Linked DNA regions of Canis lupus familiaris. The main gene of each other region encodes a partner of the protein of the gene in region 2 in a complex. Links are inferred from orthologs where the notes say so. Each region holds a gene or a part of one and is shown on either strand. Other genes may lie near its edges.

Region 1 (3,571 bases), on a different chromosome or scaffold from region 2:
GAGAATGCTACCAGCTAGATGGGCTCTGCAAATAGTTATTCTACTTTTCATTTAACTAGTTAGCAAAGCTGGACATCTTCTCATGTGTTTGCTATTAAAATACTGTATTTTTTCAACACTGAAATAAGGCTTAATAAGTATTATTTGAGTAGATTCTCTTTTTGCCCCTCAGATGCTCTGTAGTTAAACAGAAGGCAGAACACATGCGGAGAAACTGTCAGAGAATAATCCCCACTGCTTCAGCAGCCGTGTCCCCAGAGAGCTGGATGAGATGGGCTGAAGAGTTATGGATCTCAGATACCTTTACTTGCCCTAAAAATACATTTTAATAGTTTCTATCTTCTTACTGGCTCTCATCCATCATGGTGTCAACGATGTGTGTGCTGGTGAACTTAACCACTCCAAATGTGCGTGTGTGTATACATGGGTGCCCAGGCACATAAGCAAAGGCAAGGAAAATACTCTGTGTGAATGAGAGTATAAACGAGGAGCTGAAATACAAAAAGGAATACTCTGATATTATAAGAACTATGGTTTGTTCACTGTACTATCCAATTGAAAAGTATTCAAGAATAAGCCTTTCTGTATTCTTCTACACTGTAATAAAAGTCAAGATCCCTGTTCTTTTTTTGTTCAAATTGCTAGCCTCATCTCTGTAAATAAAGGATCTCAATTTCCACCTAAGTAATATTGGTATCAAGTCCACCAATATTAATATCCTGAAAATAGCCAATTTAAACTGCCTATTACTACATGCTGGAATCCCAGAGAAGCTTGCTTAATAACCTTCTCAGAGTCTGATTATATGTGACCTGGGGATAATGAAATATAATCATGTGTTCTTTAACAAGTTACTTCAAGTTATTGACTACATGATTATTAAAGATGATTAATGTCCTTCCTCCTCTGGTTTTCATAACATCATCTCATTTTCAAAATAGTCTTCCTACTACACACACCTAAATATTAAACCTGATTCACAGTTTAGCTGCAGTGTTGCAGCTAAATTTTCATTTTGATTGAATTGGAATTACCGAAAACAACAGATTACAAAAACATTTTAAGTCAAAAAGGCATTCTATAAAATATCTTTTCTTACCAGAATCTGGCAAAGAATTAAGATCTGCACATAACACCAGTGGAATAGTTCCAAATTCTCCCAATACACTGGACTGGAGATTTCGTGAGGCTTTATCAATAATGTTCTTTACTTCTGAGAGGAACATCATAGTTTGAACCAACTTCACATCAGAGTACTCGGGGTCCCAATGCATATGAGCATTAGCCACAAGAATAAGTTGTTTTTCTGTTCCAAGATGTGGCTTTCCGGCTATATTAGGTAAAAAAGAAAACAAAGAGACAGACAAAACCCGCCCATCAGCCTAGCTGAAAGCAAGTAGTATCTGAGTCTCAGGTACAAAAAGGGACCCTATATTTACCTAACAACCACGCACCTGATGTCTACATCTGCTGTACCACAAACATGAGAAACAGCCTTCTACAAGCTGGGTGAACAACCCAAAGTGGGGCATTCACTTACTTGAACACACACATCCCATTCTATTTGGGATGGCTTATTTTTAAATGGTTGTCTCCTTGACACTTCTGACTTCATTCAGATGTTCTATATTGAGTCTCACAAAATTAAATCTATATCCTTTCTCTTTGATATATTTAATATAGGCACTAAGTTTCATCTTTCTTTTCTCTCCTTCAGGTTAAACATCTCCCGTCCCAACTGTTCCTTGAGTGATAGAAGTTTCAGTTTTTGGCATGATGATCACTCTAAATATACTTTTAATTTGAAATCAGTGGTCCATTTATCCAAAACTCAAAACATTTCAAATAATGATTACAAGTAGGTCAGGAAGAGAAGTTAGCTTACAGAGTATCCTTGTGCCAAGAAATTACAGGAGCATATGGAGTTCTTCTTATTTTAACTAATATTTACTTCAACATTTCTTTTATGTAAAAAATTATTAGGAGCAAAAAAACCCCTAATTTTTCCTTTGGCTTTATGCCTTTCAAAGTTTCAAACACTTTTATGGGCACTGCTTTGTCATCTTAAGCTTTGTGGTAGAGAAAAAGTGATAGGATATTATAGAAATGACTTAAGTTCTCACTGAGTTTCTTCAGGTGTTAGATAAGACTATTAATATTAGAACAAATTTTCTGCTTTCTATTAAATTTTGGAGGTCAATTTTACAGGAAGTGAAAAGGTCACTCACATGACATTTCAATCAATTCCTTTCGAAGTTCTAGCAGTACTGCAACTCCAATGTTATCTTTTGTCATGACTCTGTTCAGCATAGCTTCAGACCCTTCTGAATTTGCCATTGCTAGCTGATTAAATTCAACAGTGTGTTTCTGAACCAAAGTAAATCTAAAACACAAACAAAAACACACACACAAACATAGAATTGGGAATACCAAAGTATTAGCTTTGTGGGAAATGCAGTTTTCCCAAGCTTCTGTAACAAATACAATGGCATGTAAATCACATCATGGAAAATCCTCCACACTTTACACCATGCTTCCCACATCCATTTCAAGTTGTTCTCAGTCTGTTACTGATACCAATAACATCTTGAAATCCTTTTACAATGTAAGATAATGTAGTCATCCTCTGTTTAAGTTTCATGTTGGAATATTCCATCTTGTAATTTTTAAATAATTCTTTTCCAAAATACAGGTTTAAGAATCCCTCTACTATTCTAGAGGGAATGTTAATTACAAGGTGTTTCAATTAACAATTGGAGTTAAACCCTAGTGAACACCTGAAGAAACAGCAGCACTTTCAACAAGTCTCCAAAGTAAGATCACTTCTGATGCTTCAAAACACTTTAAGTCAACAGTGTTGCTTTACTGAGTAATACAATGCTTCGTTCTCCAATTTGCCAACTAATTTCCACACCCTGGACTCCCTGCAAATACTGAGAAAATTCTTTTTTAAACATGACTTACTTTTCTGTCTTGAAGAATATTGCACAGCCATCGACATGTTTTCTTTCTTGTTCTGACATTGTCCTAGCTCTAGATTTAGGACTAAAGAATCCATTATAGCCACGTTCTTTCAGTTCTACCAGAAAAAAACTGTAATACTGCTCTGTTTCAACCTCCTGAAAAATTGCAAATGGCAAAGTTATTTTATAAGACCAAAATCAGTACTATGCATTAACTTTACATGTACAGTTTGAAGGGCTGCAATAATTGCAAAGGACTAATCTGCAGAATAAGGAATGTCACATCTTTTCAACATGGAAAGACATACACCTCTATGTGTGTATATTTTCTTTTATTTTAGAATTGATGGGGAATAAGAATCAGAGAGGTAGAAGGAACTTCGCAGATTCTAATTTCAGACCACAGGGAGAAAGTGACTCGCCCAAGGTCATGTAAATTATTGTAAGAGTAGGACTGAGACCCTAAAGTTACTGTGTATGCATCAGGCTCAATGTGCTCTCTGCTATGTCCTAATTATTCTATTACTGCTGATGATAAAGTAAAACCATACTTTTACAATGCCACAATTTCAGTGACCCTGTCACCCAATTAAAACATAGTGCAAGGG
Region 2 (3,177 bases):
TGTGTCCCCCCCACCAAAAAAAAGACTAAGTGAAGAAGCAGAGTCCAACCTTCTGTCTTAAATCTGAATAAAATAAACTCATTCAATTAATACCACTTCAAGTACAATCATGAACCCCAATGGAACCGCAGAAATTCATACTAAAGAATGAGATCAAGTAGCTTGTCATCTTGATCCCGGCGCCTTCCCCTTAAACAGTCATCTGAGACCATCTCTCTGAGGACTGGAATTTAAAGAAAGGCTCGCTGCCACCTCTCCTCCCCCAGTACAGCACCCTTCCAGGACAGCCTGATGAATTAAGACGTCTGCTGAAGTTGAATAGGAGGGACATGAAAAAGGGGAAAGCACTGAAATTTGGAAAAGCTAGCAGCTAGAGACAGAAACAAGGTTAGGGTCCTTGCGGCATCCAGAACTGGGGGCAGAAGGACAGAAAGGGAAGGGAAAAAGAGGCGGTAGGGTCCTGTCGTCCTTTGGCTTTATCCTTCCCCTGCCTCCCATTCCTCCCCACAGTTCATGCAGCTATTGGCTTGCTAGAGGGGATGTAATGCCCAGACCAACTTTTTATTAAGCTTATGCAGCTAACAGACTTGTAAACAGTGCCAATTGACAAAGTTTTGCTGAGTATTACAGCTTGTGTCCACTAAACACGCCTCTCTCTGACATTAAAAACAAAAGATCAAAGTAAACAAATACTGAGAGAGAGGATGAAGAGACACATCTTGAGTCTTCCAGGAAGGCAAAAGAAAAGACCGCCACACGGCTTGGTCCCAGGCGTTCAGCATGCCTAGAGTGCTGCCACCAGCACGTCTCCCTCCCTGCCAGCGGCTGGTACGGGTGGGGGAGAGGGGCCATCTTGGGCATGCTGCGGACACAGCATTTGCTGGTGTTGACAGCCTCCTGGAGCTGCGGTGGCAGACTGCGGTGTCAGGAGCCCATCTCCCTCCTGGGAGTGGTGGAGGGAGCCCAGGTCCCGGAGGCGGCCTGAGACGGTAGCCCGTACACCTCAGCGGGGTGAGCTTGCCCCTCTCTTCTCCAGTGCAGTTCAGCATTGAGGTTGTCTATTCCCGGTCGGCGGTAAAACCTGAGCTGTTTTCCTCCAGGTTCCCCCTCCCTTCCCCAACTCAGGGGAGCAGGAGAAGGGGGCGGGGAAGGATCACTGAGGGGGCAGGGGGATCCCCCGGGGATCGGTGACCTGGCCCTCTTGCAGGTTCTTCACCAGTTGTGCCAGCCAGCGTTTCGTGGTGGTGTCATCTTTTAGCACCTGGGCGAAGGTGGTGTCCTTCAGCTGATCAGGGAGGCACTGCCTGAGCGCTTCACGTGCCCTACATCAGAGACAAACAAGCCAACCAGGGAGACCAGCAAATAAACCCACATTTGGAGAACGGGGAAGAGGCTCTTTCTTAGACATAAATATACAGAATCCTGGGAATATGTGGTTCAGTCAAATTATCTTAAGAATCCATTAAAATTCCTTAAAACTTGTATTAGGAGTGGGCTCAGAGATCTCCAGGATCTGTCATCTTGTGAACATTTTCAGAATGATGTCTCAATGTGGAATTTCAGGATAAAGCAAAATGGAATGGTACAATAGTTCAATTCAAACTGCTTTCTGATTTATTACAGTAAATACTGTCAATATGCTCATGGTAGTAACAGATGGGTTATAGTAAATGAAACACTTCCAAAATCAGTACATGAATAGGGAAGATGACCTGACTCACCGTATGATAAATTAATGAACTTGAATTCTAAATTAATATAAATTTGTGTCTTTCCAAAAACTGCCTCAGTTTTTTTTTTTTTTTTTTTTTCTTAAAGTAAGCTCTATGCCCAACATGGGGCTCAAACGCACAACTTCGAGATCCAGAGTGGCATGTGCTACCAACTGCACCCTTCAGGTGCCCGTTTTAGTTTTATAGTTAAAACACTTAATAAATTGAGATGAGAAGTAAAAACAAAATTATAGTAGCAATATGATCAGATGAAATTTCAAATGTTTCATTTTCTTTAAAAGATAATCAGTGACAAATCAAATCCAGAACCTCAAGGTAAGTGTTAATGGTTTATAAAGCTGTTTTAAATAAAGTTATGGCTTTTGTACTCAGACTAGTTTAAGTAAACATATTTTCAAACTGATAACATGAACCACTGAAGAACGAGACAAAATGGTTGAAGAAGTAGTTAGGGCTTGAATAACCTCAGAGGCAGAAGGATGCATTCACATTAAATTGAGTTATCCTCATTCCTAGGAACATAGAAATTGCCCATTATGTGGTTTAGCAGAACCTGAGCAAGTGGCTTTCAGCATGAATTATGGATTTACAAAGCAAAAGGTCAAATGTTTCTAAAATGCATTATATCTACAACGTATGATTTCTGACAGAAAGATTATGAAGATAGGGAGATAAAATAATTAGCTCAAGGACTTTACAGGAATCAAAGAGAAGAAATGAAAATATAATTTAAGAGCCCTCTGGGGCTCTATTCCATTCTTAAGCGATCTTTGAAAATAGACCTTCTCTTTCTGACCACCTGGGGTAGCAATAACTAGATATAATAGAAAGCTCAAACTAGGGGCGCCTGGTTGGCTCAGTCGGTTAAGCATCGGTCTTTGGCTCAGATCATGATCCCAAGGGTCCTGGGATGGAGCTCTACATAGGACTCCCTGCTCAGCAGGAAGCTTGCTTCTCCCTCTCCCTCTGCCGTCCCCCTGCTTGTGCTCTCTTTCTCTCTCAAATGAATACATAAAAATAAAATCTTTAAAAATAAAAAAAAGAAAGCTTAAACCATAGGAGTAATGTATCATACGGTTCCCTGGGAACTGCCTGGACTCTCTGGAATTCTAGAAGAAGGTAAGGAGTTACAGAGAGACAGAGATAAAACTCTGATGGATTTTTTAAAGTAAGCTCTATGCCCTAATGTGGGGCTTGAACTCATGACTCTGAGATCAAGAGCTGCATGCTCTACTGACTAAGCCAGCCAGGTGTCCCCAATACTCTGATGGACTTTTAAATTTAGCACTTCAGATCTAAAAGGAATTAACTAAGTTCTGCCAAACTAATTATTGTTATATCCCTTCCCTACTCTAAAGATATAGGAGCTATGCCACGAGATGGGGCAACTATTCACCAGAGTGTTTCCCTAACATCCTATAAATCCTGTAAATGTTTACCTGGG
Region 3 (3,571 bases), on a different chromosome or scaffold from region 2:
AATGTGAATTGAAAAAGGTTAATAAAATTAAGGTTTCTGAAAAAAGCCAACCTCAAAACAAAAATCACAGAAAGACTCAGACCACTCATTTCAAATCTTAAAATGTACTATGCTTTCTTTTTTTATACTAGAACTAGTATTTTACTTCATGAAAACATATTTGGAAATACCATGCTAACACTATACTCAAGTATACACCTCTCAAAATTTTTATGTAATTTGGCAATAAAGCATTAAGTAAAATAAAGATTCTTAATTCTAATACACAGCCTAAGAAATATAACATTACCAAGAGTTTTTAATTTTTACATCTCTTGCTTTCTAACTTTTTGCTAATTTGTGTGTTAAAGAAATAAGTATGCACTATTATGCTTTGTTTCCTTAACTCACTTTTCTGTTTTGAAGAATATTGCACAACCATCCACATGCTTTCTCTCCTGCTCAGACATGATTTTGGCACGTGACTTTGGAGAAAAAAATCCATCGTATCCACGCTCCTTCAATGCTGGCAGAAAGAGAGTGAAGTATTGCTCTGTTTCCACTTCCTGAGGTGAAAGAAAAGTTGTCATCAACATGACAGAGGAAAACTCTGATTAAGATATAAAAATATTCAGCATTATGAGTAAAATGTGACTAAGTTAAAATAATTCACATAACAAATATTATCTATTCTAACCTTATTCCTAGCAGCAGCCATTTCACAATGGCAGCTTTTAAAACTCAAAGAACCTGAACTGTTGGTATGATTTTTCTTGCTCACATGGCTAGCTGGTCCCAACTCTCTTTCGTCCCAGTTTAGAGTTCATTCTACCATACTTCAATTTATCAAAACTGGTAAAACTGGACATATTACAGATTAAGCAGTAGGGAATAGTCAATTTTATACAGAGGTATAATATTTAAAATTATTTATCTTTCTCAACTGTGATAGAAAGGAATGATACCCAAAAGTGAGAAGTTTAAGATCTATCAAGAAAAAGTTCTACTCTAAGGAATTTTTAGGTACCTGAACACCAATCATTCCAATGGTCCCTGTTAATCCAGTACTTTTAAGTTAGACTATTTTATTCTTGACCAATAAAATTTTTTAACCAATCTTTCCAAATGAGATAATCAAATGTGAAGATAATGATTTATATGATAATGCTCATAACATGATTTTATAACAGTAAAAACTAATAAATAGCCTAAATTTCAGACATAGAGAAAATGCTAAATCAATAAATAATTATTCATATAATGAATCGGCATGAAGAATTTTAGTAATATAGAAAGTGCATTAAGTACAATAGTTTGATCTCAAATCTATTTTGAAAATAGATCTGTAAATAAATAGGAAAATTGAATTAAAAAATACGTGCAATAAATATTTCAGAAGTTTTAACAGAGAAACTATTTTTGGATTATGACATTAGGTGTTTTCCTCCATCATTCTTTATATTTTTTCCAAAATATTCAATTTTTCTAGAATGAACATTTTATTCTACAGTATTACCTTATTACCTTTACAATAAAAAAATGCTTCTTAAATTATGACATTTTTATCCTTCAAACTATGCTTAGAAGAATGTGAGGCTATTATTACCGCGAATACTAAATTTTAAAAAAGGACAATTAAATAACTACAACAAGGCTGACTTTGCCTCCTTCTCTCCCCCAATTCTAATGTCAGTTCTCAGTTTTTAGAAGAAAAATTAATGTTTGAAGATTTTTATTTCTCAGGAAATCATATGAACCATAGCCAACATAAATTATCAAGCTACTCAAGTAAAAAAAATAAAAGGTTGTTTAAAAAATAATACCTTTCTTCAGGCTATGCTAAAAAGCAGTTATGAAATTATATCACTTAAAATTTTTAAATACCTTCATAATCATGTAACATGCTTTGAAAAGTTGCTAAGAAAAAATTACTAAACACTATCTAGAAACCTTGACTATTCATTAGCTAAGTGTTGAAAAGAAGTGCTAAAACACAAATTTCAACAGAAAGGTGCTTCTTCAGTTTAATTCATTATAATAAAGTGTTATAAAACACAAATGTCTAAATTTCAGATATGGTTTTTAAAATAACACAAAAATGCATGATTTATAGCACAGTATTTTTAAATGTTTACAGTGTTTATTTATCATTAAGGAATAGTGAACAAATAATTCTTTTTTTTTTTTACAGAGTCTGTAAGTTAAATTTAGATTCCTAAGACACAACCTTCTGCAGTTTTCTCTTTCTACAATACAAATGATCTCTTCATAAGATGAACTGTTAACATGAATAATGGATAAGATTATTTTCACTTAATAGTAAATGAGTATAGGGGGAAGGTTATACTTAGCAAAATAGTTTCACTGCGCAAATGTCTTATATGCTTATTAAAACTGCCCTTTTTAAGAGAGAAAACAATTCCTTTTGAATTTTGTTTTGAATACAGACTCTCTCCCAGAAGTAAGAACTACTAAGTTCACCTTTAAGTTTAAATTTCTTTTTTTAAATTTTTTTTATGATTTTATTTTTAAGTAATTTCTACACCCAATGTGGGACTCGAACTTACTTGAACCCCAAAATCAAGAGTTGCATGCTCTACCAACTGAGCCAGTCAGGTGCCCCCAGACAACTAATTTCTATAGTTTTACCTGAAGACTAATGATATCTGCATCACAGTTAACAATTTCTTCCATAATTCCCTTTTTCCTGTATTCCCAGTTTAATGCCCAGGATGGGCAATAGCCGTATAGCTGCCGGGTGGCGTATTTATCACATAACACATTGTAACACATAACTGTGAATGATGCTAAGAATTGGGAGAAAAAAAACAAAAGACAAAAGGGAGAAAATTAGGCAACTTTTTAAAAAAAGAAATACCATGTGTATACCTGCACAAGCACACATGGCACACAAACCTATCCTAAATATTGTGGAATGCCGTTGGCAAAATTCTGTTAAACTATATCTACAAAGACTTCACTAGAATCCATCACATCAAAATTCTATTACTAGAATTAGACTTACAGTTCATACTTTAGATTTTTAGGAAATTTATTTTAACAAAAATTCAAATTCTAAATCTGAATGCTAATTGTACATAATTTTTTGACCAAACTCTAAATGGAACAAAAGTAAATTTTAGTTTTATTAAAAGGCTCTAATTTCATTAATTTTTAAAAATATACATTAATACTTTTGGGAGCCTCTTACTGCTCTGAGCCAGAAGCATATGGACTAATAACAAAGTTTAGTTATAAGTGAATCCTTTTTGCCAAGTCATATATCCATTTCTGAAACTGAATTCTCATTTTAAAATGCCCTTAGATTATAAAAGGACTGTGACCAAACTAAAAAGACAATAAGGTTTATATTCTTGTGCTCTGAAGAACAAGAGCATCAGTTATCACCTAGGAACTCAAAAATGCAGTCTCTTTGGTACCACAAAGACCTACTAAGTCAGAATCCGAAAGTTGACAAAATCCCCAGGTGAATCACATGTACATTAGCTTGAAAAGCCCTGATTTTTATCAGTAATTTTCTATCCAGGCTACCCATTAGAATCACTTTGTACAGCATTTTTAAAAAGTGCTC

The links. Proteins that work in one complex are often made in the same cells at the same time.
Region 1: CNOT9 (region 2) and CNOT6 share a complex: the UniProt entries of both Homo sapiens proteins name them as parts of the CCR4-NOT complex. The link is inferred for Canis lupus familiaris from reciprocal best matches to the Homo sapiens genes CNOT9 and CNOT6.
Region 3: CNOT9 (region 2) and CNOT6L share a complex: the UniProt entries of both Homo sapiens proteins name them as parts of the CCR4-NOT complex. The link is inferred for Canis lupus familiaris from reciprocal best matches to the Homo sapiens genes CNOT9 and CNOT6L.

The regions. Positions count from the first base shown.
Region 1 is NC_049232.1:1,476,808-1,480,378, forward strand, and holds part of CNOT6 (CCR4-NOT transcription complex subunit 6), read right to left. Parts: intron 3,120-3,571; coding exon 2,965-3,119; intron 2,384-2,964; coding exon 2,229-2,383; intron 1,331-2,228; coding exon 1,100-1,330; intron 1-1,099. UniProt on the Homo sapiens protein: Poly(A) nuclease with 3'-5' RNase activity.
Region 2 is NC_049258.1:25,085,867-25,089,043, reverse strand, and holds the end of CNOT9 (CCR4-NOT transcription complex subunit 9), read right to left. Parts: coding exon 3,173-3,177; intron 2,246-3,172; coding exon of another isoform or gene 2,224-2,245; exon of another isoform or gene 1,592-2,223; intron 1,323-1,591; coding exon 1,154-1,322; 3' UTR 541-1,153; downstream 1-540. UniProt on the Homo sapiens protein: Component of the CCR4-NOT complex which is one of the major cellular mRNA deadenylases and is linked to various cellular processes including bulk mRNA degradation, miRNA-mediated repression, translational repression during translational initiation and general transcription regulation.
Region 3 is NC_049253.1:37,970,048-37,973,618, reverse strand, and holds part of CNOT6L (CCR4-NOT transcription complex subunit 6-like), read right to left. Parts: intron 2,787-3,571; coding exon 2,629-2,786; intron 546-2,628; coding exon 391-545; intron 1-390. UniProt on the Homo sapiens protein: Has 3'-5' poly(A) exoribonuclease activity for synthetic poly(A) RNA substrate.